4 linked regions of the Oreochromis niloticus genome follow. The protein of the gene in region 1 interacts with the protein of each later gene in a pairwise test. Links are inferred from orthologs where the notes say so. Each region holds a gene or a part of one and is shown in the gene's direction. Other genes may lie near its edges. The genes, in order: dazap2, transducin-like enhancer protein 1, tollip and epn1a.

The links.
Region 2: the proteins of dazap2 (region 1) and transducin-like enhancer protein 1 interact in binary tests that used the Homo sapiens proteins (3 or more experiments, as listed by UniProt). The link is inferred for Oreochromis niloticus from reciprocal best matches to the Homo sapiens genes DAZAP2 and TLE1.
Region 3: the proteins of dazap2 (region 1) and tollip interact in binary tests that used the Homo sapiens proteins (3 or more experiments, as listed by UniProt). The two-hybrid records come from large-scale screens. The link is inferred for Oreochromis niloticus from reciprocal best matches to the Homo sapiens genes DAZAP2 and TOLLIP.
Region 4: the proteins of dazap2 (region 1) and epn1a interact in binary tests that used the Homo sapiens proteins (3 or more experiments, as listed by UniProt). The two-hybrid records come from large-scale screens. The link is inferred for Oreochromis niloticus from reciprocal best matches to the Homo sapiens genes DAZAP2 and EPN1.

What each region holds. Positions count from the first base shown.
Region 1 is NC_031984.2:9,350,572-9,358,586, forward strand, and holds the start of dazap2 (DAZ-associated protein 2), read left to right. Parts: upstream 1-4,928; 5' UTR 4,929-5,086; coding exon 5,087-5,099; intron 5,100-6,676; coding exon 6,677-6,795; intron 6,796-6,896; coding exon 6,897-7,145; intron 7,146-7,251; coding exon 7,252-7,380; 3' UTR 7,381-8,015. Other genes in the region: pou6f1 (POU domain, class 6, transcription factor 1), read right to left, coding at 1-10, 559-695, 856-1,048, 1,981-2,121. UniProt on the Homo sapiens protein: In unstressed cells, promotes SIAH1-mediated polyubiquitination and degradation of the serine/threonine-protein kinase HIPK2, probably by acting as a loading factor that potentiates complex formation between HIPK2 and ubiquitin ligase SIAH1.
Region 2 is NC_031977.2:21,198,010-21,205,904, reverse strand, and holds the start of transducin-like enhancer protein 1, read left to right. Parts: upstream 1-4,825; 5' UTR 4,826-5,669; coding exon 5,670-5,693; intron 5,694-6,028; coding exon 6,029-6,129; intron 6,130-6,821; coding exon 6,822-6,885; intron 6,886-7,541; coding exon 7,542-7,586; intron 7,587-7,895. UniProt on the Homo sapiens protein: Transcriptional corepressor that binds to a number of transcription factors. Inhibits NF-kappa-B-regulated gene expression. Inhibits the transcriptional activation mediated by FOXA2, and by CTNNB1 and TCF family members in Wnt signaling.
Region 3 is NC_031965.2:3,875,256-3,882,515, reverse strand, and holds the start of tollip (toll-interacting protein), read left to right. Parts: upstream 1-4,102; 5' UTR 4,103-4,280; coding exon 4,281-4,313; intron 4,314-6,948; coding exon 6,949-7,098; intron 7,099-7,260. UniProt on the Homo sapiens protein: Component of the signaling pathway of IL-1 and Toll-like receptors. Inhibits cell activation by microbial products. Recruits IRAK1 to the IL-1 receptor complex. Inhibits IRAK1 phosphorylation and kinase activity.
Region 4 is NC_031976.2:22,692,392-22,700,132, reverse strand, and holds the start of epn1a (epsin-1), read left to right. Parts: upstream 1-4,617; 5' UTR 4,618-4,725; intron 4,726-4,736; exon of another isoform or gene 4,737-4,946; intron 4,947-5,151; coding exon of another isoform or gene 5,152-5,229; exon of another isoform or gene 5,230-5,667; intron 5,668-5,673; 5' UTR 5,674-5,719; intron 5,720-7,741. Other genes in the region: putative serine/threonine-protein kinase SBK3, read right to left, coding at 5,152-5,229. UniProt on the Homo sapiens protein: Binds to membranes enriched in phosphatidylinositol 4,5-bisphosphate (PtdIns(4,5)P2). Modifies membrane curvature and facilitates the formation of clathrin-coated invaginations. Regulates receptor-mediated endocytosis.

The sequences.
Region 1 (8,015 bases):
GGGTCAGCACCTAGAGAAAGAAATTCCATCAACATTTATGCCTGCGAGGTATTCAATGTGCTTTCAGTGGACTATTTTCTATACTATATTTTTATTGTTTTTACACAGTGAAACTAAATAGTCATACATCTGTTACTGTGTGTGGACTGAAAAACTCCACTATTAAGCTTTTTAAAAAAAAATCATGTTAGGGGTTTTACTTTTTACTGCTGAAATTGCTGAAAATGTTGTGCTAATAGCCTCAGGCTATGTGTTCAACAACTTGGATTAAACTTTGCTCATCTTTTTTACTTACACAGTGCACAATGGCATCGGTATATAACCTCACTAAATCACCTACAATGATTTTTTTTAATGTAATAACACTGACACTTGGCCCTCTGGTGCATTACTTTTCTACAAGAATAATATGGAAAATGAGAAAAATCCAAATGGCTTTCCCACCCACTCTAAGCTCTTTCTACCAACCTTTAAAATCAGACAGCAAAACTACTTTGTTTCTCTGATGGTTAAATATGAATATGAGGTGCAGTGTGTGTGCATCTCAAAAAGTCAGACCTGTGGACAGCCTTGCACGGTGATGGGCATGGCAGCCTGGTGCTGGGGCAGAGACACGCTGATGGGAACAGCAGGGGTCAGAGTTTGGACCATAGGAGCTGGAGGCTCCACAGACACCACCTGCTGCTCACCCAGCACTGCAGGAGCACAGCCAGAGTTGGTTATTAATGACATTTTAAGTTGTTTTTTGGGTTTTTTTTAAATCACACAGATGTTATCAAGAATTCACTACAAATCTGGATATATGAGAAGTGAGTTCTCTGCTATCCAGCATTATCAAGGATGACAATGATTTACCTACACCACCCCCTGTGCTCTGGGGCACTGTGGGGCTGTCCTGGGTGCTGCTGGCATCAGGTTGCTCTCCAGCTTCAGCCACTCCCTCATCAGTTTTGCATTCGCCCTTCCCATCAGCTGCTGAAGAGGCTGAAGACGCATCGACTTCTACTTCTAGCACTCGAATGGTTTCATGGCCAGACATCACAATGACCTGCACAGCGATCAGGATTTAAATCTAAGAGGACTCAAATGCAAAGAAGGCTTCTGCTTTTGTTTGAGTTTGTATTAAAAATGTAATAAACTAGTTATGTGCAATTATTTTATGAAACAACAGGAGATAATTCTCATCTGACCTAGCACCAGAGGGGTGTAAAACATTTTCTGTAATTTCAGTATTTCTCCACCTTGTCAATTCCCTCTGGAAGAACTTAGCTGATGACTCATGGTATGCAATAATGACAGACCTAGCGGAGGGGCAGCAAGACAACCTGGGCTGGAGGACAAGGTGCAGAGAGACAATGCAGGAAGAGAGAGGAGGATGCATACCTGGTTGTCTTTGGCAGGGAATTTCAAAGTGCAGGATTTAAATGGCTGAAAAAAGACTTCTGCAGTCAGACAGTGAATGGCTAAGGAGAACAGAGAAGCCGAGCACATGTTAGGACAAAATGAACCAAACAAAAAAAACAAACAAACAAAAAAAAAGAGACACAAATGAAAAGAGCATGAGTACACATAAACAATGATAAGAGCATCAGCCAACAAGCAGCTCAAGCAATGCTTTCTTCAAGGTCGCCTTTGTGCTTCCGTGAAGAGCATTGCTTTTGTTTGCTGACTATGTCTAGACACAATGTTACTAGAGAGAGAAAAACCACAATTAATTATTAAGCATGGCAATTCAAAGACCGTTTCCAACACAAGCATAGATATTATTAGTCTATAAAACACAAAAGTGCATCGGGATCTCAGTGGTCTGCTGTGTGACAGTTAATCATTCCATTATGAAGTGGCACGCTGGCGCATGGAGGGTGACAGGAGCAAACAGCAGCAAACAAGTCGAAGGCAAAGTTATGTTTAGTTAAGCTCACTGCAAGAGTAGCTTGGGGAGGGGGGGTCCACTGCTCCTAACAAACACATGAGTGTTACCTGCTCATTGACAGTAAGTGGGGCATCTTTGGCAGGCAGATCCTGGGAGTTCATGGCTTGCTGCACCACCACAATCACTGTCTTCCTGGCATTCTGGGTAAACAAAAATGAAAAAAAGTGATTTAAAAAATGTGGAAGCATTTTAGAAATTAAAATATGTATCAAGTTTTCCGTATAAGCCCACAGTCTCTGCACTTTAATGACAAACCCAGCTTAAACAGAACCAAATGCAGAGGACAGGTTTTTTTCCCTTTCTTTTCAATTCATTGCTATTATAGTCATTGCACGAGTAGACAATTTGGAAGGGGCCTGTAAACAGGCCATACTGTTTTGCACTTAAGCTGCAGAAAACGTGATCAAACACGCTGGTCGTGGACGTTAAGTGGTTACGCGTCCACCACGGATCGCAAAAACACTCGAGACGGCGCGTTTCCTGCTGCAATGCCCCGTTAGATATGGGGATCTGTCAAAAACTTCAGCGGGTGTTGATGGGCTCCCCACCCCCATCCTGGCCAATAAAAGTCTCGCCGCGTCGGCCACTTTTAAGGACAAGCAGCAAGCACGGAGCACAGGCGACGGAAATCATCTCGATCCGTGCCAAGAGACCGAATATTATGTATTTCCCTCTCTTTATCATAAATATATAAATTATGCTAATTACGAACATTGCATATTAACCAAAACTCATTTCCTCTCGCCATTTCGCTGCTATGCGCGAAGAGCAAGCCAGAATACGGTCCGGTTATTATATTCAACTTACCGCGTATATGCAGCTTATTTCCTGTAATCCCCGGCTCTTAAAAAGGTCCTTGTCACAGTTTGTTTCAGTCACACATAATTAAAAATTCATCTCAGCTCCCAGACAGGCGCTGTGACTGCACACAAAAGAGGTATTTGCATTGATAAGGAGGCTTGCAATGTTAGGATCTCCTGTCTCTTAATATTTAATGACGATGCCCTTTCTGCAACAGTTCAGATAATCAAAAATCCTTGAGGTGTCTCACAGAATCCTATTTGAGCTGTAAAGTCGGACAAAATTGCTACAAAATTGGCCTTTTGCACTACGTCATGAACATAATTTATGCAAGAAAAAATCTTGCATTGAAAAATGTCTGCCTCGACTTGAGAGGTGCCATGGTTCTCTTAAAGGGGAAGTAGCGCACACAAAGACGAGCACTGGAGACGCTGTCATGAAACACTGTGCCGATAGTTTCAATTTCCCAACACCGCTGTTTGTCTGTAATATCACGATATTCGCACAGTTTTTGCGTTTATTTGAACGAGAATTAAATGATTTAATGCAGCAGAAATAATTATGGAGACTTGTTTACTTTCTTCTTAAAATGACGTAGATATGTTTTTTTTGTGGTTGCTCTATATATTCTATTATATATATTTTTTTAAATGGGAAGATAATATATAACCTTTGATCATGATGTAGACAGTCGTGCTATTTTGAATAATCCTGTGTTAATTCTGAATTTGATACATAAGGAATGAATGTGTAGTTCCGAGATCATAGGTCATCATTTAGTTGATGAATAAATTAGTTGACTCACACAAAACTAACCATTTTAATACTGTGATTTTTTTGGGTAATCCATCAGGAAAAACAAATGCCAAAAATTAATATTTTTTTATCGTCTTGGTTTGCCATCCCAATGATTTTCGGGGGTTTTACTGACTGAGATTAATTGTATACATACACACGTACTCAGAAGGCTAATTGGGACAGAGTGGAGACACCTGGGGAAAACAAGCTACAGGTGCAGATAATCAAGATCACTAGACAGGGGAGGAAATAAAACTTAAAACAACACATAAAAGACAACTAAATATAAAAGTAAAACAGGATATAACTGATAAGAGTTAATTAGTAAGCAAGTTTTAGTAAACACTCTACACAAGAGAGCTATTCTTGTGTAGCCATAACATAACTGATTTATTAATTTTTGTTGATTTGTTGATGTCTTTATCAGGACCAAATTGTATATGAGGATGCTATATAGGACGTGCAAGAGCATATTAAGGACAAGCAAGAAAATAGTATTGATGGCGTTATAATATTGTATATTTCTGTTATATTTTACTGGCCCTAAGGTACATATGTCAAACCCAAGGTCCAGGGCCCTTTACAAATTGTGCCCAGCAATAAATGTAGGTTAACCTGCATATATATTTTCTTATTAGAAGGCAGTTTACGTGTGGTATGTGTGAACTGCCCAAAGATCTTTTGATTTTTGTTACTGTTGTGATTGATTAAACAATATAAAAACAAGGTAAATAGCATGAAATTCTGATGATTTTTTAAGCCTTCATGTGGACCGAATTGTGTGTGATATTACTGTATGGGACATGCACCAGCATTATCCAGGATAATTTTATGGTAGGATTGATTGTATGGCAAGAGTGACAGATGGGTTCAAGGTCGGGGTAGAATTACATCAATTACACATGAACCATCAGGGGAAATGGTTCATGTGTTTAAATACCTCGAGTCAACCATCCAAAACAATGCAGTGCACTGCAGAGGTGAAGAAAAGAGTACAGGTAGGGTGGAGTGGGTGGTTTGTAAGCTGCCAAGCAGGAGGAAAATAGGAAGACCACAGCGGAGAGTCATAGATGTAGTGAAGCAGGACATGCAGAGGTTTGCTGTAACAGAGGAGGATGGCAGGGACATGGTGAGATGGGGGCAGATAAGGTGGTGTCCAGCTCGTACATGGAGTAGCCCGAAGATGAAAAAGAAGAAGAAGCAACTAGGTATGCATGACCCTTGATGTGAGCCCAACTTTATCAGCGTGGGCGTTATTAAAAGTAAATTTGACGCCCTCTGTCTTAAAACCAAGACAATCCTTTTTTCCTTCCAGCTGGCAGCTAACCTCTGCTCCATTTCTACCAGTAGGGGGCGCGGGCGTGCACGTAAAACCGTGCGTGCAACCGCAGATAGATAGAGAACGGGTGACGTCACCACTTCCACAACAACAAGAAGCTGAAAAACAAGGAAGTGGATGATTGTGTGAAGCCGTGACCTGCACTAAGGCCGTGAGAAGATACGCAGAGCTCCGTTTAACCTGATATTCCTCAGTCTCTGGATCATAACACGACAATGAACAACAAAGGTATTTCTCCAGACCTCGTTTAGGTAATTAGTCAGCTGTTCGCTATACGACGCTGACGTGATTAACTAGAGACGAAGAGCTGCCGTTATGGCTTTCCGAAGCGGACTTCACGTTTAGCCACGTACATAACAATAACCCGACGCTTCCTGGGTAACAGTGTGGCTCCCACTCTGAACCAAGACGGCTTTATTGTTAGTAGTGAAGCTGTTTACAGTGAAATCCTACATTTACTGTCACTCTATATTCTTATACCATTAGTGGGCAGGTCACATGTTTTCCAGGCAGCTAATATCTCTGTAGACTGGCACATTTTAAAGGCACAGCTGACGTGACTCTTTCCTTCTCTTTTGTACGACCCATCATACAAATATAATCTGTGTGACTCATTTTAGTAATATTTGTTTTCTTTTGTTGTCAATTTACGTATTATATCCTCACATATTATTTGGCTATTTTATTTGAACACACTCATTTCTTTTGTCCCCAGTTTCGCTGTATCTGCTCATTTTAACTCTTTAGCTTTTTGATGATTATGATTGTAGTTGACTAAACATATGTATCGGCCATCTGTATCGAGGAAATAATATATAATTGTGTAATTTAAGAGGAGAACGATATCGGGGGATTGGAGGATTTCTTTTTTTCTCTGTCCCGAAAAGTTAAAAAAAATAACAACAACAACGATCAAAGCTAAATAAATAAATAAATTCCAGTCAGTCAGGTTTTTATTTTCCGTGTCTGCGTTTGTATTGGCCTAGAGTTTCACAACAGACGTACATTCAGTATTTTTAATTTGCCTATTATTTCCTTAGTTACACTTTCGGTTTAGAGCAGTAAATATGAAACAAACAAAAAAAACCAATCCAGTCGCCACATTTATTAAGTTAAAACGGGAGAATTTGTGCAGTTCTTACATTTAAATATTATTTTGCATATCAGAATTAATTAATTCTCTATTGTTTTACTAATTGGTCACTTGTAGTGCCCCCACCACACACACACACACACACACACACACACAAATATTCGACCAAGGTTAAATCAGAAGGACTGGGAAATATTTTCTTTTTTAATGGGTTTATTTTTTTTCCTTTTTTTTGTAATCGTAATAATAAAACAAATTTTACTTGCAAACCACATCTTTGTGTGTAGTCACCTGTTTTGAGTCAGGAAAGAAACGCTGAATCTTATTTTTTTTATATATTCATTTTTCTCCGGTGTACTGTCAGTTGTTATAATCTGCTCCCGAAGAAACAGTTTGTGGGGGTTTTGTTTTGTTTTTTGTGGTTTTCTGTGATTATGAATATGTAACTATTGGGAAAAAAATATTTGAGGAAATTTACATCTTACTAATAGGCTCTCAGAAGCCATCTTCAAGTTCACTGGACAATGGACATTGACCCCATAAGCAACATTGAGTGTGTTGCATTCCTCTATTGTCCACATTTAAACAAAATGACATTTTTATTACAGCACAAAATGTATTAATACCGCTAGGCATGACAGAGGAATGTTTGGTGCCTAAGAGTTTTGTTCTTTCTTAATTATTTCCTTTAATTTAAAATCTTTTATTGCAGGTTCATATCCACAGCAGGCTGTGTACCCTCAGCAGAGCACTGCACCTGTATACCCTCCTGCTATGCAAATGTCTCCTCAGGCACCACCTTACACAGATACACCACCTGCATATTCTGAGGTAACCAGTCCGTATTTAAGTCAAATGATGAGCAGAGTTAATACTCGCACTTACAGTTATAAACAAAAGAAAAATCTGTTTTCCGTTCTCTGTGTCTCCAGATCTACCAGCCCAGATATGTGCTTCCACCTCAGGTGCCTGGTCAGGTGCCTCAGATGTCCTCTCCCTATCCTGGTGCTCAGGTGTATATGCACATGCAGCCACATATGTCAGTTGGGCCAGTGGGCCAGAATGTCCCCATGGCTTATTATCCGATGGGAGCCGTCTACCCGCCTGGTTCAACTGTGATGGTGGAGAGCGGCTATGATGCTGGTGCTCGCTTCACAGCCGGCAGCAGTGTTTCCATCCCAGTGAGTGTCCATGCCATGCCAAGAAGGCATATCCACCTTAGATGAGATGCACAATTAAATGAGGAACTCTTTAACTGTGTTTGTGCTTGTTTCTTTCCTTTGCTAGCCCCCACCTCCTGGACACCCCCCTAATGCCGCTCAGCTGGCTGCCATGCAAGGTGCCAATGTTGTAATGACACAGCGCAAGAATAACTTCTTCCTGGGTGGATCCAGTGGAGGTTATACCATCTGGTAACAGCAGCTCCTTCTTCATGCCTAAACCATGTCCCCATCCCAGATGATGCCCCAGTTCTTCCCCCATCCCATATGCCTCCCTCTTCAGGCTGCTTGGCCATGCCACAATACTGATATCACCTAATGGAATGTAATATTTTAGAGCCCTTGTGAAAGGTACAGTACTCCACTTCTGACCTAGAGATGAAATGATAAACTCCATTGCCTGAAGAGGAAAAGTGAAAATTGTAATGTTACAGAATCCATTCCATAGTTCTTCATTGGGTCTAACCTCTTTGGTCATTCCAGATCTGACCTCTTTCAGGCATCTTTATTTGTCAACAAGATCTTCTCTTCTTTGATTGAATGGTCACAAATTACACTGAGATGTTCTTGTACTCCTGTAAAAATACTTTAATGAAATTATTGAAATATCAGATCCGCATAAATATAGTTTAGCTGCTTTATGGTGAAAGTGAAACGCAGTTACAAAGTTGCAGTAAAAAAGAAAAAAAACCTCCACTTGTCTTTTTTTGAAACTTTTAGTGTAGTTCAATTAATAGGTGTCTAGTAGTTCCATGTAAATACCAGTATGATTATGAGAAATTACATCTCAACTATTAAAAAAAAAAAAAGAAAGAAAAAAAAGTCAGCATC
Region 2 (7,895 bases), on another chromosome or scaffold:
AGCTTGCAGCTGCCAGGCCCCTCTCCTGTGGAACCAGCTTTGAGGAAGAAGACATCCTCTCTGCTTTTGGGGTTAAGGTTAAACCATTTTTGGTAAAGCTTATAGTTAGAGCTAGATCAGCTCACTTATCTCTTATGCCTCTTTTTCAATAGTACATACTTGGATCAGCTCGACTCTACCCGTAACGGGTTTTATTACTTATGAGTTCCCAAGCAAGGTGAGTTGAACCAAAAATGTGACGTTAACAGACAGTCATGAGAGCAACTCCTTCACAATAAAAAAACCTGCGATTTTTGAAACTGAGGGAAATGGCAACACACAAACCAAGTGTTTTGGAGTGTTTTGTCTCGCCAACTTCAGCCTTCTTGGGCGCTCTTGTTTTACCCTGAGTCTGACAAAAAGCCATAGACCGAGCAGCAGGTATACCATTGCCTCGTTGTAGTGTGTTTGTGTTGTATACAAATGATGTGAAGGGACTTTCTGACAGTCTTTCTATAATGACTCCACCCACATTGAGGTGATACTCAGTTGTAATGGAAAATGATGGAAACCGGGTAGAGTAGATTTGAGTCGAATCGAGCCAAATAGTGTGCTGGGGGACTTCCCCTGCTGCACTGAGCGTTTCCTCTCCACACTACTCTTTTCATTTTCTGTGTTTTACTTCTAACATAATTTGTGATGTGTCCTTGTCTCCCTGTGCTTTCCATTTTTCTTGTATTTCCCTCCATCCCGTAATCAATCACAGCACATAGCTGCCCCTCTCTGGATAATTCTGGATGCATCTTCCTGTTAAAAGGGAGTTCTTCCTTCCCACTTTCGCCAAGTGCACGATATGGAGGTTTTATTTTGTTAGGCTACATTAAAGCACCTTGAGGAAACTGTTCTTGCGAGTTGGTGCCATATAATTTAAATTAAACTGAACTGTATTTAAAAACCGCCAGTCTTTCTTTTAAGAAAAAATTCAGCATTTGTGACTCAAAAACATCACTTTATTTTTACAAGTCTAAAATTTTAATTGTATACGTACAACAGCAAAAAAGGACTATTCTATTCCATCTATTCTAAAACACATTTTAATTCACATTTAAATGTCATATTGACATAAAATGCAGGGCGTTCTATTATACAGGACATGTGGTTTTCTGTGTTTTTACCTTTTTTCCCAGTAACCTGTGGTTAACATTAGGTAGAAACAATTTGTCTCATTCATCACTTTCATAACTCCTCAACACTTTGTGGTGTCTTGTGTCTATAACCTCAAATGCAAATCTCTCATAAAGTAATAATAAAATGCTAATCATCCTGTTTATTTGAGGATACTCTACATGTATTGCCTCATATTGAAAATATAGTGTTAAATAAAACACTGTAGTGCAGAAAAGACTTCAAACAGAAAACATGGATCTGCTACTTTTTCTTAATATAATGAATAGTTTAACTATGGATGTTGTGTTGTGTATTAAAAAGATTTAGTTTTGACTGATGTGTGACCTTTAACTATTATTTGATGGGCTGTAAGGATCTTTGCATTGAGGTGAGTTAAGGTAAGGAAAAAAGGAGCATGTTGCCTTGTGCTTCTTCTTGTTTTGCTGTTTGTAGAACTAATGGAGCACTAAAAATGTTAATGATTACAAGCCCAATTTTGAAAAGGTTAGGATGCTCTGTAAAGAGTAAATCAAAATAGATTGCAATGATTTGCACTGAACCATATTTATTCACAAAAGAACATAAAAAACATCAAATATTTAGATTTTTACTATTTCATGAGAAATAATAGCTAAATTTTAATTTGATGGCCGCAACATGCCTCACCTCACAATAAGTTGGGATGGATGTAAAAGTTGGACGCCTGTGATCTTTGGGCCCTTGGGAACCACTGTGTTAAAAACAGGGATGATTCTGTCATGCAAATCACTGAAGAGTGATTAAATGAGGAAGACTATGAGGAAGAGCGGAAAACTGTTTTGTGATCAGATGAATCGAAATTTGAAATTCTTTTTGGAAAACATGGACACTGCATCCTCTGGGCTTAAGAGGACAGGGACCATCTGGTTTGTTCTCAGCACTCAGTTCAAAAGTCTCTGACGCTATGGTGGTATAATAGGGAATGGAACTTGCAGCTTCCACATCTGGAAAGGCATCAATGCTGAAAGGTACATAGAAGTTTTAGAGCAACGTGTCCTATAAGATGACATTTTTTTCTTGGAAGGCCTTGCATATGTCAGCAAGACAATACTAAACCGCATCTTCCATTTATTTTACAACAGCATGACTTTGTAGTAGAAGAGTCCAGATGCTGAACTGGTTTGTTTGCGGTCCACTCCTTCCAACAACTAAAAAAAAATGGCAGATCATGAAATGGAAAATATGATAAGGAAGACCCAGGACAGCTGAGCAGCTAGAATGCCGTATCAGACAAGAATGGGGCGACATTGCTCTAAAGGGGGCCAACCGCTGGTCTCCACAGTTCCCAGACATTTACAGAGTGGTAAAGAAGAGGGGATACTACACAGGTGTAAATGTGGCAGTATTCCAACTTTTGAGACATGTTGCTGCCACCAAATTCAAAATGTGCAAATATTTTTCTTAAAAGATTTGATGTGTTCTCTCTGGTCTATTGTAAATAAAGTATGAATTTATGAGATTTTTTTTTTTTATTGTTCAGCACATCACAACTTTGCAGAACTGGGATTGTACCTCTTTTTTGTAGGAACTTATTACACAGTATGGAGAAGTTATTGATCTAAATTTTAGATTACGCTTCAGGTATACTCAATGAGGCCAACACTGCACTTGATCATGAACAACTGAATCTGCACTAATGGCAAAAAAAAAGAAAAGATTACATTAAACCTTGAAGCATTTGGGAAGAACAGAAGAGAAGATGGGGGAACTGGGGCCATAAAAGTGTAGCAATGTGCATAATTCAGTGCACCGTAGAGAGGTTTAAGAAGGGAAAACAATAAAAAACAAAACATTATGCAGCAAACAGATAAGTAGCCAAGATTCTAAAAACATGCTGTAAATTTTAGAAATGACACAGACTCAGGGTGATTTTCTTTAGTGGAAATTTACCATATATTCATAGGCAGTAACTGTGATTAACTGTAGCTCCAGAAGCCAGTCGCATACAGCCAAAATGAATAAATTAATATAAACAGTCTAAATGAAAAGGTCCAACCATTAGGTTGATGCAGCACAAAATTTGCCTGTGAATGCCAAACAGTGTGGCTAACTCACATTTCAAGGCAGTCCTGGTTGTTCATTTTAGAGGGGCCCGGGGTGGGGTGAGGGTGTGGGTCACAGGCAGCAAAGGTTAACACGAATGTGAACCAACACTTATAAAAGACAAAATGCATTTAAGCACCCGCACAAATGTGTAGCTGCACATGCAAACCTTTGTAACCGTACCACCCACTCCACAGCACCTGCGTGTCTGTGCATGTGTGAGACCTGCAAAAAACAGGTCACTGTTGGTCACAGTCAGGAGCCTCTCATACGGACTGGATCAGCCGCCGTAGAGGTCAGAGGTCACGTGGGTCAGAGGGTTGAGGTCTCTAAGCCAATCACGGGCCAGTGTGTGGCTGAGGGGCCATCCAGTGTGAAGTGAGCAGTACTTCGATGGGATAAGAGGAGTAGAGAAGATCCCACGAGCCTCCTTTATGACTCAGCTTCAAACACACCTCGCCAGTCACAACGTGGTGACTTCAGCCATGCAGTATTTCATCAGGTAGCTGGCACAAAAACACCCCAAAATGAGTGCAATTTACCAATAGCCTTTATTGGCAATGGAGCTATAACCTGTGCTTGTTTGCTAGGAGAGCAATAAATGGTGACATCTTTATTTTAAAAACATTGCTGAAACTTTTATGTGCAAGAGATATGGTCTTCATTTTTGATGAAGGTGGCAAGTTATATTTCTTCACACATTTTCAATAAAAGCCCCTTTCTCATTTATGTTTTTGTATTCATGTCTTTAGCAGCAACTCTAACTACTCTTGTTACCTGCTTGTTACCTGTTAGCGTGTCTTTATTTACAGCTGCTTCAATCTGGCTTTGACTGCTGGTATAATAAAATACCATTCTGTGAGCTTTATTACAACGAATCAGGAATTCCCCTGGCATTTTTCTGCTTTCTTTGGGTCAAAATCACATTTGCACAATGCCGAGCTACGTTTTTGAAGAGATATAAAGACATCACAGTACAAGTAAGGGTTTTGGATTTGTCCTTGGCCAGCGAAGGAAACATGATGAGGCAAACTGAGCTATCTCTGTAGACTGACTGTATGAAAATAGCAATAAACTGCAACAGATGAGCAGCATAATTAGATTTTTTTAGGAGAAGCAGAACATAAAGAGCGTTCAAGTCCTACTAAATCAATTCCCACGCTGAAAATTATTACATAGAGGGGGAGAGAAAGCAGAGGAAGAGAGAGATTTGGGGTTATTTGTCATGACACTTGCTGGGAAGGTTCACGGCGGCTAAGAAAAACAATATTTCTGTTTTTCTGTTTGTGTGTTTGCCTGTTAATGTGTGCGTGTGTGTATGTGTGTGGACGCGCACATTTACAGCTCTGCTCCTGGTGAACCCACGTTACTTTGATTGACAGCTGAGACTTGCCTTTTTCCCCACCGCACTGCCCGCCCTGCGCGCTTCCGAAGTGGCAGCTCCTTGCGACGCGCTGATTGGTCAAAATCTGCGTAGCTCAACGAGGTCAACAGAATCAGGGAACTTTGCAGAGAGGCTATTGGTCAGTTTCATAACCCACATCATTTTCCCCACGTGGAGCGGAGACTGTGATTGGTGCGGAGGCGTTTTGTGGGCTGGCCTATAGTTTCGGTTAGCTGGGTGAGCGTGAAACCGCGTGAGAAAGTTGCCATTGAGGTAAAGCAGAGCAGGACCGTGAACAGTTCCCGCCGCTGTGGGAGTTGTTGTTATCAAAATTAACGACATATTTCCTCGTTTTTTTATTTTTTGTCTTAAAAACGAGAAATCTATTTTGGAGGCAAGGCTTGCTTCCACACCGATCGAGGAAGTAAATATTTCTGTATTTGTTGACCGTTCAACCGCCAGCCAGTGACCGCGGCGAGTCAAGTGGGAACTCTTCTCTGCAATTAACTTGTGTGGATTTGTTTCTGATGCTCTGAATGAGCGCCGGCAGTTTGCGGCTGTCTGTTGAGGATCTACGGGGTTGATTTTATCTTGTTTGTTTGTTTGGTCGGCTCTCCGTACTCGGAATACATCAGTTCGCACACAAAACAAACGTCGGAGTGGCGAAGGTGGCTCCAGCCCTATTTTTTTTTCTCACCTGGCTCTCCTGTCCTTCTCTTCCCTCCCCCTTCAGCTGCTTTCAACTAATGAGCCGTTTCCCGTGTTTTTCCGGTTGATTTACGGTCGCGCTGCCTGTGGAGCGGAGGACAGACGACGACCGAGAGACGGGAAGAAGCGGAAATTCACGTTAAACGGTCGGTGAACCCAGACGAAGCGGACAAGCGGTCGGTGCCTTTTTTTTTTCTTTTTTAATTAACGATCGTTGGTCCTAATAACAACGGCGGATGGATTCCTCTCCGTGATTGGGAGCTTCCCACAACCTTACTTTTCACCCCCATTTGATCCCACTTTGACGGGGTTTTAAGAAGGAAACGGTTTCATCCTCCCGGAGATAACAATGTTTCCCCAGGGGCGACACCCGGTAAGACGCTCTTTGTGCATTAACAGACGCTCACTTCACCGGGCTCAACCGGGTAACATTACCTCGTTATATGACCCGCCCCTCCGGGCTGCCTATGTGTTTATATTAAGCTCAGTCTTCTAACTAATTGGGCTCTACAGTGGGATTGATTATATTGCGTTTTGGCTTTTTGTGTGTGTTTTTTAAATAACGACTAATATTTAGAAGTTGTTGATATTGTATTTGTGCTTAAAAGTATCAGATTCATAATGTAGACAACAAAATGTGCCAGTGTGATGTTAGTAATCTGTGTGTGTGTGTGTGTGTGTGTGTGTGTACGCGCGCGCACGCGCCAGACGCCCCACCAGGCTCCAGGCCAGCCCTTCAAGTTCACCATCCCAGAGTCACTGGACCGCATCAAGGAGGAGTTTCAGTTTCTTCAGGCACAGTACCACAGGTGGATAACACAAACACTCAATTCACGTTTTCCTCTATTGTCATCTGCCCTCCCAACACTAAACTTCACCCTAACCACAGTCATCCTCATAACCATAATGAACAAAACCTCAACCCTGGCTTCAGACTAACCCATAAACCTGGATTAGGTTCACGTACACATACAAAAGTGCACACATATGCAAGCAGGCATCAGTGTTAGCGCTTGCACTGCGGTAGGTCTACATCTTCTTGATGGGTGAGAGCCAGAGGGGTGGCGTGTGGGCTTAGGGTTTCATAAATCACGCCTTATTTTCCCCTGTGTGTGTAGCTGTGTAGGGAAAAGGCTTGCTCAAGTACTGCATGTGAGCAGAGTGTTTCTTTTTTTCTTTTTGTTTTTTTTTAACTTTGCTCTAGATGTTGTCAGGGTGGGTCATTCACAACAGGTGAAAGCTAGACCTGGATGTTTCTGATTTACATATTCAAAGAAGAGGATTGTCATAAACATATACCCATTATTTGACGGGAACAGTCATCGCGTTTTCCATTTTTGCACCAATTCTTTTGAAACATCTCCATGGACTGTTTTAGAGGGTGTTTAAATCATCAAGCAAGAGGGGCGAGAGAAAGAATGAAAACTGATTAGTTTAACTTGAAATGTTGAGTTCCACTCAAAGTAAATGGTGTATTGTTTTTCTTGTTGTTTTTTTTAAGTCTCAAACTGGAGTGTGAGAAGCTGGCCAGTGAAAAAACAGAGATGCAGAGGCACTACGTCATGGTGAGCTCCCTATACTCAATTCATTTGCCCTGCAGGGTCACACATCACATGCAGGAGTTCTAAAGTTTCCTAGAGGAGAAAGTTGTCCATATCTTATAAAGCAGAATACAAATTCCTATCTGAAGACTCGCAATACAAAATATATGTATTGTTAATACTAAATGAAGGGAAGAGGAAGAGCAACGTGCAAGTGTCACCTGCTTTTACTGTGCAAAGATGCTGTGCTGTTACGACTTTTCATGTTGATTTAAAATGTGTTTCACTGTTTCAGAAAATAAAATATACACGAGAGCTTACGTTTCACTTTTAATCACTGAAGTTTTACCTCTTTTACACAAAGCAATGTGGCTGTGTGTCAAAAGCTTTTCATCTAGCGCAGAAACAAACATAACATGGACAGGAATGCTGTTCAGTTCAGATTGTTTGTGAGGATGTTGCATTGCCTCATGTTCAAGTTAAAAAGCATTTGACTTGCATGTTTTGACTTTCAAAGTAGTTTGACCTCTTTGTGGAACACTTCATTTAAAAGGATCTGCAAATATCTTGAAAGACATCTACAGTGTAGCTAATTATTGTTTAAGTTATTCAAGCTTTTTCTTTCAGGGGTTTAGGATTTGTTTCACCCTTCTAACCTTCTCACTCTTTGCCCCCCCCAGTACTATGAGATGTCGTATGGCCTCAACATTGAAATGCACAAACAGGTATGGCTGCTCGTCCACTCTGTCGGTCCTCTTGTTTATCTCTCTTCCTCTCATGGATGGATTTTGATGTATGTGGAGTGTGGGCCTGTTGACGTGTCCTTGTGTGTGCACAAGTGCATTTGTGTGTGTGTGTGTGTGTGTGTGTCTCTCTCTCTCTTTTACTGTATACGTGTATATGTGTGTTTATTTGTGATCGATGGGGCTCTGTCTCCATTTCCCCAGTTAGGGCCGGCCGGCTGAGCCCAGAGGCAGGATGAATGGCTCTGTAGATTGATTGGTGCTGTCTAGGGGAGCGGCCTGCTTTATTAC
Region 3 (7,260 bases), on another chromosome or scaffold:
TGGAAGGGGATATTTATTCCTCACAGTGATGGTATTAAGTCCACGATAGTCAACACAAGGTCTGAGAGATCCGTCCTTTTTCCCCACAAAAAAACTCCCCGCAGCCACGGGTGAAGAGGATGGCCGAATCAAGCCTGCCTCCAGGGACTCCGTAATATAGGCTTCCATGGCAGCCCTCTCTGGCCCAGAGAGGTTGTACAGCCGACTAGTAGGCAGCGGAGCTCCAGGCAACAATTCAATAGAACAGTCATACGGCCAGTGAGGAGGCAAAGATGTTTGCTGAAAACTGACCTCAGATCATGATAGACCTCTGGCACAGACTACAGGTTCAAATCCTCTTGTGTCGATTCGGGAGCACTGGCCGCAGAAGGAGGTAAAGCAGACCTCAGACAGTGTGACAAACAGTGGCTACTCCAACTCTCTATAAGACGGGTGGCCCAGTTGATATGGCGATTGTGGCACTTGAACCGAGGATAACCAAAGACTACGGGGGAATCAGGGGACGCGAAAACAAAAAAATGGAGAAATTCGCGATGATTGCCCAAGAGAATTAATGAGACAGGTTCCGTTTCATGGGTGACCGAGGGCAAGGGCTGACCATTGAGGGCAACAACCGAAACAGGGACCTCTAGAAGCCGTGTTTTAATACTGAGGAGACGTACCAGACCTCTGTCAATCAAATTCTGTTCAGCCCGGGAGTCTAAAAGAGCTTGAGTAAAGTAGGTCTTAGAGTTATTAGACAGCGGAGAGCTGCATGCGGGGAACCTGAGACCGAGAAAAGGTGCCACCCACCAGTACCCCCGCAGTTACTGGTGGGCCCCGCCTTTTAACCAAAGCTGGCAGGTAGATACAAAGTGGTCTGACTGACCACAATCCAAACATAGCCGCACCTTAAAACGTCTCTGACGCTCCTCAGGGGTAAGTCTCGTGCGACCCAGCTGCATCGGTTCCTCAGTATTATTCCCAGGAGGTGACCACGCTTGGACGTGAGCGGGAAGGAGTGAAGGTTGAGTGACCGTGCGCATCGAGGCACCTTCCCCCGAGGTTGCGCGACCCTTGCCTCCCAGTTCTTTCTCCCTCTCTCTCTCATGCAGATGGTTATTGATGTGAATGGCTAGCTTCACCAATTCCTCAAAACTCTCCGGTTGGTCTTGGGTAGCGAGCTCGTCCTTCAAACGTTCGCTTAACCCGCAGACGAACGCCCCGCACAGCTTGGCATCCCCCCACCCGGTCTCAGCCGCCTTAACGCGGAAGTTGATGGAACACTCCACTATGGAGGAGTCGGAGCGCCGACAGCTGTCGTGCGGTTTCGTCCGCGCGCAAAGGGTGGTGAAACACGGACTTAAAATCTTGGACAAATTGAACATATGTGAGGGACTCAAGATGGAGGATGGAGAGCCAGATATGATTCGGCCCAACTTAAAGCTTGATCATGAAGGGCGCCGATCAAATATGAAATTTTAGAAGCGTCGTCAGCAAATGCGTGGGGAGAACGCTGAAAAAGCAAAGACACTTGAATCAAAAATGGACTCTATGGCAGAACACACAGAAACGCAGGGAATGCAGAAAGTGCTCTTTATTTACGTCTGGATTATTTACACAGGGTGGGAGATTGTGTACAGTGATAAATAAACGGAGGGAAACCAGGGAAGGGGGCTGACGCACACTCGGAGGGAAAGGGGTAATCGGTGCACGCAGGGTGGATCTACGAGAAAAAGGGGAAGATACCAAACAATCAGTAAAAAGCGGCAATAAACATGGGGAGAGTTCGAGAGCACACTTGTCACACTGGCAGTACAGGCTCGGGCGAGAATCTCCGGGATGTGAAGGTAAAGATGAGATTGATCTCTGTAGTGATCCCGGAAATACAGCTTCACCAGCAGCTGACAGGCAAGCGGGTGATGGATCCGGCTAAGGATACAGGACAACAGGTAAGCAGACAAAATCCAAAACATGGGTTGGCCGTTAGTGCACACCTCGGAGATTAACAAACACGTTACCACTCAGGGAGGCGACAATACTCTGACACCAGACGTCTGTCGCGCTGCTCCTAAATAACGCTCCATCAAATGACGTCTGATGTACCGCCAGTGTGCCAGTATCCCGTGACACACCGCCCCGCCTACCTGTGCTGAAAAAGGAAGCAAACTCATGACACCACACCAGAGAAACCCCACCAACTCCTAATAGGCAGCACCTAACCAACTACAAGCCTGGCAAAACCATGATGACTGAGGGCAACGTGGCACTTGCGGAGGAGCTGGACCACTTCTTTGCACACTTTGAGGTGAAGGGATCAGAGGCAGCCGTAGCTCAAACATCGAATGGCAGCAGCAGCCCAAGCTTCATGGTGCAGGAATATGAGGTGAGGTGTACACTGAGGGCTGTGAAAGCCAGGATGGCCACCAGTCCAGATGGGGTGACCAGGAAGGTCCTAAAAGAATGTGCAGACCAGCTGGCTGGGGTCTTCACTAAGATCTTCAACGCTTCACTGTAGCAGTCCTGCATCCCGCCATGCCTAAAGTCGGCCACACTTATCCTACTATTTAAACAGACCAACATTAGCAGCCTCAATAACTACCGACCAATTGCTCTAACACCTGTTATAATGAAGTGTTTTGAGAGACTGGTCCGACGCCATATCGTGTCTTGCCTGTCACCCACACGCGACCCACTCCAGTTCGCATACAGAAGTGAAGATGCCATTGTTACAATGCTCCACACCACAATCTTCCACCTGGAACAACAGGGGCATTAAGCCAGGTCGCTCTTTGCTGACTTTAGCTCTGCATTTAATACGATACTCCCTGACAGACTAATAGTAAAACCGCTGAATATCGGACTTCCTTTTATTACCTGCTGCTGGATCAAAGACTTTCTCTCGGACCGTGTAGAGAGATATAGTAGGGCCTCATCTTTCCTCAGCCCTCACCCTTAACACCGGCTCTCCACAAGGCTGTGTACTAAGTCCCCTACTGTACACTGTGTACACACATCACTACTTAGTACCCACCCACACAATGCAGTCATTAAGTTCGCGGATGATACCACCGTGGTCGGCTCATCTCTGGGGGCGACGAGACAACATACAGAGCTGAGGTTCAGAGGCTGCTGGATTGGTGTGCAGAGCAGACAACAACTTGGACCTCAACACCACCAAGACAAAAGAGCTGGTAGTTGACTTCAGAAGGAGGAAGTCTGTGCTACAGCCTATAAGCATCAACGGGGAGTGCATGGAAAGGGTTTGAAGCTCCTGGGTGTGAACATAGACACAGACCTCCAATGGAGCTCAAACACCTCAGTGGTTGTAAAGACGGCCCAAAAGCATCTCCATTTTCTGGAATGTGCTGACATACTGCATCTGTGTATGGTTCTCCAGCTGCACACCGTGGCACATGGGTCATTAATATGGCCCCAAAAAATCATTGGACATCCTCTTTCCTCCCTGAAGGACCTATATAGCACTCGTTGTCTCAAGACAGCACGCAGCATCCTACAGGATTGCACCTGGGTGTTTAGGTTTATGCTGCCGTCTGGAAGGAGATTCAGAGTGCTGAGGTTGCAGACAAACAGACTCAAGAACAGCTTTTACAACAGAACAAAAGCTCTAATCAATGCTAACAGCTGACCTGATTGGCTACCTGTCTGGACTTTTTTAGGGGGGCAATAACAACAACAACAACAACAACAATAATAACAAAGTGCAATAAACATTCACTCTTTCTTTTATTCATTTATCAAGTCATTCCTTTACCTTTCTTTTTTGCTCATACATTTCTTCCACTTAAAAAAATACCCTTTAAGTTACTGTGTTGTGTTGTGCTTTGTGGTGTTTAGTTGTCTGTATTGCTGACGTAGGACAGTTTCCAATTTTATTGTACTATTGTACTGGGTATGACTGTGTAATGACAATAAAGAGTTATCTCTTATCTTATCTTGAAGGGTAAAGTGTAGTCATGGTCAGCAAGACTAGAACATCGCAATATAATGCAGTGCATTCCATTCATTTGTGGATCGGGTGTAGCTCTTCACCTGAGCTAGTAACTGAAAAATCTTGAACGTGGTTTGGCTAGAGTGGATTCTATTGCCCACTCCAACGCAGTAGGTGGCGGTAAAGCACTGTAATACTGGTTGTCACATGACATAAATAAAAAATCAAGCAGGAAGAGGAGGTCTGTCGAACGGTAAACATCCGTCATAGTGGACAGTGGTTTTGTTTTTCAACGGCATACGCTTGTGATTTAAGAAAACAGAGAAAATCTCGATAAAGAGGAGACGACATGGCAACTACCATCAGCACCCAGAGGGGACAGGTAGTGGCCTCGGCGTTTGTCTAGTTTGTTGGCACTGGCACGCACACACCTAAACGTAACTGTGGATTGTAGTTCTGGCAGTTCATTAAATGACCAAAAAAAGAGTTGCACAGAGACCCACAGCACTGATACTAGCTTAGCATTCAATACCCGGACAACGTCGGCGAAGGTAATTAACTGATAAGCGTTAGCTTAGGTAGCTAATAGCAACTCAAGGATTAAGCTGCCAGGATAGCAACACTGACGTGTTCCGTGTTACACAACAAACGATAAAAAAAACAGTTGCACTCCCGTGCTTCAAATCTGGGAAGCTTAATTTTCAGTTTCTATGTTGCTCCTTAGAGGACTCCGGATGTTTTGTTATTACAAAGAGTCAGAAAACATTAAGCCTTTGATCTGTGGTGAGCTGACATTTTCTAATGATTACTCATAAACCGACTAATTACAAGTTAATGAAGTTCTGAGACTTGACAAGCAAAACGGTGTTCACGTCCAACATTTTCCACGTGCTAGAATTACGTTAAAATGTTAGAAGAAAGGCTAGATAAACATATTAAAGGCTTGGGTTTACATCTTTTAAACTCACAAAATCCTAAAAACTAACAGAAAAAGTTTTCTCGTGGCTTCTTTAGTTCAATATACCCTTGAACATAGAAATGTGTGGAAGACATCCTGCTCTTAGCGACAATAAGTTGGCATCATTTTCTGTGTTTATTCAGGTAGATGAAGACAAATTGATTTAGCCCACTATGTCTTGCAGTTTTTTAATGCTACATTCCTTGCTCCTTCTCTCTTGTACACTTTCACTTGTGGAAGACAGAAAGTGAGAGATATAGTCGGCTATAATGACTGTGGGAGAAGACTTATTTTTGAACACTGAAAGAAATATGCTAGCAGCATTTCCACCCACTGAGTGAATTCATACTGGATTGGTCAGAACAGTAAAAATATCTGTCATTATATGGATATAAATTGTTGGACAGTTTTCTCTCTGTAAACCACCACATTGGATTTTAAATCGGACAATATGTGATCAAAATGCTTTCCTTTAGTTTTCATTTTAGAGTTTTTACAAAATATTTTGGAATTAATTGTTTAGACAGGTTAAATGGGGCCTGTTGCATTGCTATTACATGACAAATGAAGCAGACATAATATCTTAAGTTGATTCAGAGTGAAGAATTTTGTATTCTGTAACTTTTCACTGTAATTTTGAATATGAAACCCAAGAGATGTCAGTGTACGCAGGGAAGGCTATTATGATGCAGAAAAAACAAACTAAAGCATGTGGTAATGTTTGTGACATAACCACATGCTGCAGAAAATTTGATTTCAGACAGTCATTGATTAAAAGGATTTTCAAGTATTAAAAACCTACACAGACATTTTAATCATATATTGGTCCATTTAAAATCCACTATAGTGGTCTACATGACTACTGGGTCTCTCTACAACAAGTGTAGCTAACTAAAATTCAACAGCGCCACCAAGATGTTTTCCAAATGAGCTATACATATAAATCAACACCTCTCAAACAATTTCAACAAAAATTGAAAAAAAAAACCAAACCCCAAAACAAACCAAAGAAAAAATCCTTTGAATTTATTACAGAACTGTTTCATCATGACTCACTTAATTGACTGTATGTTCTACCTGCAGGTTAGAATTCAAATTCGGATGCTGATATGTAAAACACGATTAAGTCCATCAACCCTCATTTGAATATAGGTGTCTATAAATGTACGTTAACCAAAGTCCTGCTTGTAGAAGGAACTCTTGCCACTCTTGCAGCAACCTAGAAATACCTCTGGGGACTTTTTTGGGTAGTACTTTTGAAGCATTATCTAAATGAACTTACATTTATGTCGTCACTAGTACATCACCAGTCAAATAAGATAAAAACTGCTTACAATATTTATTGACTTTGTCCCAAAATAAGGTATAGTATATATTTTTTACATTCTAACCAATTTAAAATTCTTCTTCTGAAATACAAAGACCTAAATGAATATGCACCATAAAGACCTCGTAATACTATATTATCTCAATAGAGCACTTTCCTCTCAGAGTGCATTCATATTTGTGGTTCCTAGAGATTTCAAAAGTAGAACTGGGGCAGAGCTTCTAGCTTACTGGCCCCTCTCCTAGGGAACCAGCTCTGAGTTTGTATTCAGGGTTGGATCACCCTGCTAGAGGACTTCATTTGTTTTCCATTTGTTCTCCTCTTTACCTTCATCTTAGTTTCAATAAGCACTTCATTTATCCCATATTTAAATTATATGGCAATACTACATGCTGCATGTCAGTAACTTTTGGTTTCTCTCTTCCATCTCAAAAAATACGTACAATGTTAAATAATTTTGTATGAATAATACAATCTTAATACAACACCAAGCAATCTTCTCTTCCTCCAACCCCTTTTATGCTGGTGAAAAATAAATAACTAAGTGGCAGTTTTTCTGGGTAAAATTTAAACCAGTTTTTTGCTGTCAGGAGCCAACTTCTTGAAATTTAGCAAACATGATCATCAGTTGAAATTAATATCTCGACGTAATCTCATGGAGTATGTCATGTTTAACTGTCTCTCTGAGTGACTACGCAGAGTAACTCTTAATCCCTGTGTCTTTGTATTCAGGTGTATATTGGGGAGCTTCCACAGGATTTTCTGCGAATCACTCCCACCCAGCAGCAGCAGCAGGTCCAGCTGGATGCCCAGGCAGCCAGGCAGCTGCAGTATGGAGGCTCCATAAGCACTGTAGGAAGACTTAGCATTACAGTGGTCCAGGTGAACACAGCTTCACTATTAGAAATACAACTGGATGACACTACAGTATTTGTTCCATTGTGGATAAAATATACACACCAACAGCTTGTTCTTTTATGTTACACATAAAAGCTTGTTCCGCTCGTTTATTTCGTTTAGTTCTAAACTGCCCGTTTAGTACAA
Region 4 (7,741 bases), on another chromosome or scaffold:
AACAAGAAGGTCCTGTGTTTGAGCCTCGAGCCTCCAGCTAACAGAGACAGGTTGTTTTATCTGGAGTTTGCATGTTCTCCCTCTGTACGTTTCTCCCACAGTCCAAAGACATGTTAGCAAGCATGCCAAGTTAACTGATGATTCTAAATTGGCCATAGATGTCAATGTGAGTGTGAATGGTTGTGTCTCTCTTTCTCTGTCTCTAACCTCGCTCTAGTTCACAATAAAATGAAAGTGCCTAAAAAATGGATTGCTTCAGTTAGTCTTGAGTTGATGCAGAATCTTTCAGTCAGTTTGTCTTGGGGCAAAGTAATAGTTAGGTACTGAGCAGCCGATAAGCAAAGTATTACAGGTTCAGTTTTCAAAGAAACTGATTTTCCATCAACTCACTCATTGGCAAAACAGGAATGAATAAATAAATACATAAATAAATGGAAGCAACTGCATTTACTGAATAGCCGGGAGCTCAAAAGAGGCCAACAAAACAAACTTATACAGACTAATACAAAAGGCAATTTCAGCATGATGATAAATTATTAATTCAAGTGATTGTGACAAAAGGACTTGATACGTACACAATGTTCCAGGGTTTAGCCTACAAACAAATACCTACTCAGAAAAAAATGTGTCTTTAGTAATACATAAATAACTAGACATAAAATGAACAGAAACTGATCTGAGAGTTCATTTGTCAGACAAGAATCCACAGTGATGAATGTTATTTACATCCAGAAAGTGACAGCACAGGCTTTCAAAAGAGCATCTCGTGAGAGCTTCGGTGTTAGTTTGTTTGATTCCTCCTCTTCAAAAGCCCCTCCTCAGGCTGAGTCCAGTTCTTTCTTTCAAAACAAAGTAACGATTCTCTCCTGACACGGCTTGGGGGAGTGGGCACAGAGGAAATACTAAATAAAGTTTCAGCGTGACATAATAGTGGAACGACACCTGTCAGAATAATTTATACTTGTTATAATCACCGGCATTTTGCTTGTCCTTATAAGATTAGTGTTTCCAAAGCAGAGTAACATTACAAGTTTGCTTGAGTCACGCTGCAATGTTTTCTTCAATCCCCTCCTCCCCAGAGAGAAGGGAAAGATAAAGGGATAAAGAGATGAAGGATTAAAGGGGAACTTGTAACACACATGCATGCCAGCTGTTGTTCTGATCCAGGAGGCTTGCGGGGTATTTTTCATGGTCCCAGGGAAGGCAAAGCTGGTCTGGTGTCACACCAGATAGTTCAAGGATGCCTCTCTGTGGACGGTGAGGGTCATTGCATTTTTGGGGAGAAATTGTTGCTGCGTGTTAAATCTTAAGATTTACCACAGATTTACCACCAAACCTATGGTGTGACTTTCAGTTTTCATTCATTAAGAAGTGAAATACTTCCTGCTCAAATATGTCTCAATGTTTTCCGTATCATCAGCGTGCGTATGGGTCTTCACACTCTGACAAGAAGGCTTGTATTCAGTTAAACAACATCAAAACAGAGTCTTAGTAATTTTACTTAAATGATGCAATGTAAAATAAATAAATAAATAATTTGTTCCTTTCCTGATTTTTTTTCTGCATATTTTTTTAATACACCATAAAATCGAATTAGTTTCCAGAACTTAAAAAAATTATGCAAAAAAAAAAAAAAAGTAGTAAAGCATACTTAAGATAACTAAGTTAGGCCAACTTATTCATTGTGGGTACACAGTACTAAAAATAACTTGATTTTTCTGAGTAAGCAATACTAAATGTTTATATTTTTAACAAAACTTACTGGTAACTTAAACTGAGTTCTAACAAGCTCTGAGTTCAGCCTACTTAGTATTTTTAATTAAGCAGAATATTAGACTTTACAGTGTACTTACATGTTTCAAATTGTCAAACAAATTTTAATATTAGATAACGATACCCTGAACAAATAGAAAATGCATTTTTTAAATGATGGTTTCATTTATTAAGAGAAAAAAAGGCTATGCAAATCTATCTGCCCCATGTGAAAAAAATAATTGCCCCCTAAAGCTAAGGGTTGGGCCAGCATTGGCAAGAACTGCAATCAGTCATAACTGGTAATAAGTCTTTCACATCCCTGTAATTTATCTTTTCAGAATTGTTTTAATTCACACACAGTGGAGCGGTTTCAAGCATGAACAAGCTTTTTATGGTCAGGTCAAAGCATCTCGATGTGATTTAAATCTGGATTCTGTCTAGGCCCCTCTAAAACCTTCATTTTCTTGTTTCAGAGTTAGGTTTGCTGGTGTGTTTTGGATCCTTGTCCTGCTGCATAACCCAATTTCACTTTAAGTTTCAGGGTATAAATTGATGGCCGGATGTTCTCTTTCAGGATTTTCTGGTAGAGAGTAGAATTCATGGTTCCATCCATCAATTATGGCACGTAGTCCAGGTCCTGAAGCAGCAAAGCAGCCCCAAACCATCACATTAAAACTAACATGTTTGAATGCTGGTATGATGTTCTTTTATGAAATGCTGTGTTAGTTTTACTTCTTTTATGACATCTTGAATGAGTCGTTAATGTGCTCTTGGAGTAATTTTAGCGTATTTCACTTTGTCAGACAGGAACTATTTAAGTGATTTCTCGGATCAACAGGTTGGCAATAATCAGTCCCGGAGACAGCTAAAGAAACTGAACTGTGCTTTCTAAAAAAATGTGCTTCACATTAATTAATAAGGGGGCAGTTCCTTTACTCAGGAGGCGCCAGCTAGGTTTGGATTCCACTAATAAATGAAATCATCATTTAAAAACTGCATTTTGTGTTTCCTTGGGTATTCTTCGTCTAATATTAAACTTTCTATCACAATCAGGGCTGAACTGGGACAAAAAATCGGCCCGGGCATTTTGACTAGAGACTGGCCCACCAGGTATTATAGGAAAAGCCATAAAGCCTTTGAATGAAAACAAACGCTGTTGTGACAGTGATGTGCACTGTCTTGTTGGTATATGTATGATTTCTGTACATTTTACATCAGATAAAAACTTTGGTGGTAAGATTCAGATAATTATTTATTAAAAGCGAGACATTTTAAATGAGAATAAGAAACAAAAGTATTTCTTTGTGCCCCCCTTTCCCTGTTAATGCCCTACCTGGCCCCCTGGCAAAACCTGCTAGACCCGCCCCTGCACAGTTACCAGCTGTCAGCTACTTAGAAAAGGATCCTGGTGTTATTTGTTCATAACTTCCCTTCAACTCATTCATGTCACCTAAAAGGTAAACCTGTTTCTCCATCACCTGTTCAGCTCTGATGATTCAGTAAGGACATTACCTGGTTTCAGCTTCATGTTTCCCTCTCACCAGAATATCCAAACCGATATCATAACCAGCAGCTTTTACGGCTGTGGCTCCCGCAAACCTCAGCTGATACTAGAAATTAATATTAAATAAATTCTAACAACAGCTGATCAAGCTTAAACCTGCTGCTGTTGTTTAGCGCAACATCCGCCGGTTTCCTCTTTCTGGCGCAAAGTGGGACATAAACAAACAGACGGGACTTGGTCAGAAAAGCCGATCAGCTGATCATTGATCAGTTTCATGATTGAAGTAGCAACAGGAGAGGGAGGGGAGAGAATGAGAGAAGAAGAAACAGCTGACAGCATAAAGACACAGAATAACTGCAGCTTTGTGTCTTTTTTTCATTCTAGCTGAAGTCCGGGACAAACTGTTCCTTTTCAGCTTATTACGACACGTGTAATATTTTCTCTGAATACCAGACGATTCTGTTTTTTACAGGACGGTTGGCAACTCTACTAACTAACCGTATGAATAAAATAAAGTTCACTATCAGTAACATCATAGCACCCACCCAGCTGTATAGAAACTCTGTAAAAAGTCAGCACAATGAAAATAAACTATACCTAAACTTGGTTTATATCTGACCCAGATAGACTGCAGATCATTATTACCTGAAGTTCAGTTCACCTGACACTCGGACCGGCGGCCACCTCGGGTCTCTCCTCCTCCTGCCTCCCCTTTCCCTCATTTACCTGCTGGCTTCTATGGAAGCTCCGCCATAGCCACCACCAAACAACTAAGTTATTTTTACATTTTACACATTGGTCACACCACCTTTCATTGTTTATACCGTTACAAAAAAACAAAAGACAAAAAAAAGAAAAAAAAAACAAACATAAAAAACCATTGGCCCATAAAAACGAAAAATCACCATCAGCCCACTGGGCAAATGCCCGGTATGCCCGATGGCCAGTCCAGCTATGATCACAGTTTAAAAATATAAAATCAGGGGCAAGTTCTCCATTTTATTGCCATTAGTGAAACCAGTTCCTCATTTAGGATTTTTAGAAATGAACCCAGAAAGACACCTTCTATATTTTCAAACCGTTTTCTTGTCTATTAGCCACCCAAAGTCTTTTTTTTTAAATCTCTGAGAAGTCTGGAGAACGTGGAACAAACGTGCGAAAACAAAAATAATGACAAAAAGAGGATGTGAGTTCTTCCCTTTGACACAAAATGAATATTAAAAAGGAAATTTATCTCAGAACTTTTAAAAACATACCCCCTGTCTATCAGTGAATGAATTTAAACGGTAATAAACAATCATTTCGATATCTCTTTATTTGAGACTTTCTTTTCGTCTCAATTAATAATTCATGAGTCTCCTACTACCATCACAGGAAAACAAAGCTACAGGGGGTGCGGTCTTTCCTGTAGGCGAGAACGGAAGCGGAAATTCGGCCATCTCCTCGTACATTCAAGCTACAGCAGGGTCAGTAGACATTTATTTTAGATATTTATTGTGCCGGGTTGTCAGCCTTTTTTGACTCTTGAATGCGTGTATTCAGTAGTGTCCCAAAGCAGGACGTGAAGCTGGAGCTCGTACGGTCTGTCAGTCATGTAGCGAACTAGCAACAGCTAACAGGCTAGCTGGCTAATGTGTCCGAGCAGCAACAGCAGCAAAGTGATTTCTTTTATCAGTCAAAGTGGCAGGTAACCTTCACCTTTTTATCGAGTTTGGGATAATTCCGCGCTAGGACAGGAACGACTCATTCTGTTTAGTTCCCCCGCTTTTTTTTTTATACCTAACTAAATCCCTCCGTGCACCTGTTTGTACTACACCCAGACTTTGTGATAGCAAAGTGATCGCAAACAGTTTCGATTAGCTTAGCTGAGAATAAGAGAGTTTGGTGCTCACCTTTAGTTGATAAATTAAGCCTTTGGTACATAAAAATGTTCGTTTTAAGACCTGTGTGTTGCATTTTACAGCGGACATTAGCGTTTGCTAGCAGCTAGAAATACGTTAGATGACAGTTTGGTTGCTAACATATCAGTTAGTTAGCCTGCTATCTTAATAGGTGTGACAGGGAGCTCAGCATCTGTCTGGCAGGGTCGTTAACGTTATCTGGGTGGGGGTCACATCTTCGGGAGGCTGTGCAGTGTTAGCTGGATATGAGTGATAGGAAGAATAAATCAGTTAACACTTATGCCTGCTTTTCGCCTTTTGTAGTTGGCTTCAACCATACAATCCATCTTTCATATAGAGCAGCTTCCTGTGACGTGACTTATGAGTAAATAAGCGCTACAGCGTTTATAGCTTGTTCTGTATGTGATCTAAGTGAGACATCTGTGTATTTTTAGTGCTTAAGGCTGATAAACTGTGTACTGTAGTGCTTCTGAGATACTTACTGAAACTTTGTGGGGGATTTTTTCCCCTCAGTGTGGCTTCAGACTGACGATATCTGACAAGAGGAGATATATAAAAGGTATGTTATGTCACTTATCATGGTTATCACGGATTAGCTGGCGTGTCTGAACTTTGGCACTGGGCTTCAGGAGTCTCTGAACTGACTTTTGCAATGGTTGCTTTCTGTTCAGTTATGCAACATGCTCTCATGTTTATCTGACCTACAAATCTGAACCCCTTATTAGCTGTCAGGCTGATTTAAAACACTTAATGATGTTTGGAACGGTTATGTTTTTCGTATAGTATCCGAACTAAAGGCTTTCATTTTGTGCCATTTAAAATGTGTAATCCAGTGGTTTTCACACAGCTGACATGGTGTGAACAACTGTTTTAGCTGTGTTGCCAGATGAAAGCATTTTTGAAAGTGACACTAGAGCCAAACCATCCTAAATCATCCAATTTTTAAGAACATTTTCTGCTCAACCTTGTCTGATGTGCCTCTCTTTTTCGTACATTTTCACTGCATTTTTAATATTATTAGTATATTTTAAACTTAAACCGAGTCATCTAGTGCAGTAGGTCTTGAAAATTAAGAACGTGCATGTATTTAACACAATTTTCTCAGTTGAAACTGGAAATTGGATTAATAATTAACTAAGAATTTCATGTCAAAACAATATTCTGCACGTTTCATTTTGTGGTATTTTAAAATAAAATTATATATCACTCAGAAATTATTAAGTCGTCTTTTGAAATGTAATTTTCTTTCTTTTTCACAAACATGGGAATTTACAAGATAGCTTTCATTTTTCTCCATATTTTAGTTACTCTGTATCTGTCCGAAATTACAGATCCTGATTCATCATTTCGTATAGTAAATTTCTGTTATTTATCTTAAATATTTACTGAAGTGTGCGGACTCAAACATGGCCTCAAATTTCAAAGTGTAAGCTAGAGAAGTATTTCATATATTAATGTAAATTCAAACTTTGGACCATATAATTTTTAGGGATATCTGAGATGTTCGAGCAGAAGGCCCACTTTGTTTTGTGATGGAATGACCCAGCAGTTTTCAAACTTTAAACCACTGTTTATATCTGCAGAAACTAGCCTTTATCTCAGCTAAAATGGCGTGAATGACTATTTTAGCTGTTGTGTCAGATGAAAGCACTTTTAAGTGTGACACCTACAATTTTTTTTTGGTCTCCAGTAAACTCCGCAAACATGCAACTTGCCTGGATCCCCTTATCAGACACTTGTACAAAGTCCTACAAACTGACTATGATTCACATTTAGTTCTTTACGATAGACTAAGTTTCTCTCAGGTTTCCAGGTTTGTCTTGCTTGTGTGGCACAGCGTTCACATTTGTTAAAACCTTACAGAAAATAAAAGCCTATTAACATCCCAGTCCAGCTGAAGCCATAAAAAAAGCGTATTTTTGTGGCTTATTTCCTCCTGACAGTTCTCGATCTTAAAGTGGTTGTGTGTGGTTTTCTTTACACAAGAAAGTGATCAGTTTTACTACTGCACAAATTGGATCCTTCTCACTGTCAATCAGGTCATTTCATGTCAACTAATGTAGTACATCTGAATTTCATTGGTTACTTATTATGCAGTTACAGTAATATGTATATGTGTGTGTGTGTGTGTATATATATATATATATATATATCTATCTATCTATCTATCTATCTATCTATATATATATATATATATATATATATATATATATATATATATATATACATATATATATCTATCTCAATCAATCGTTTTTTTTAATCCAGCCACACTTTTTGGGAACCACTGGTTTAATCGTTGCCAACAGGTTAATTTATTACTGCAAGTTACAACTTATTTTAATAAGTAACAAGCAGTCAGGGCTGAAATCTTATTTTTCTTTTGTTCTTTAACTAATAAATCTCCAGTTTGTAACCAGCATGCTGTTTGTAGAAGTCAGTTTGTTTACTTTATTGGTTCAGTATGAAGAAGGATCTGCTTGAATCTGGAGAATCGGAAAGAGCGGCAATGTTTCTTGCCAGTGCTGGTTTGCCAACTGGGGGAAGATCCACATATAGTGGGTGGGGAAAAATTGATATT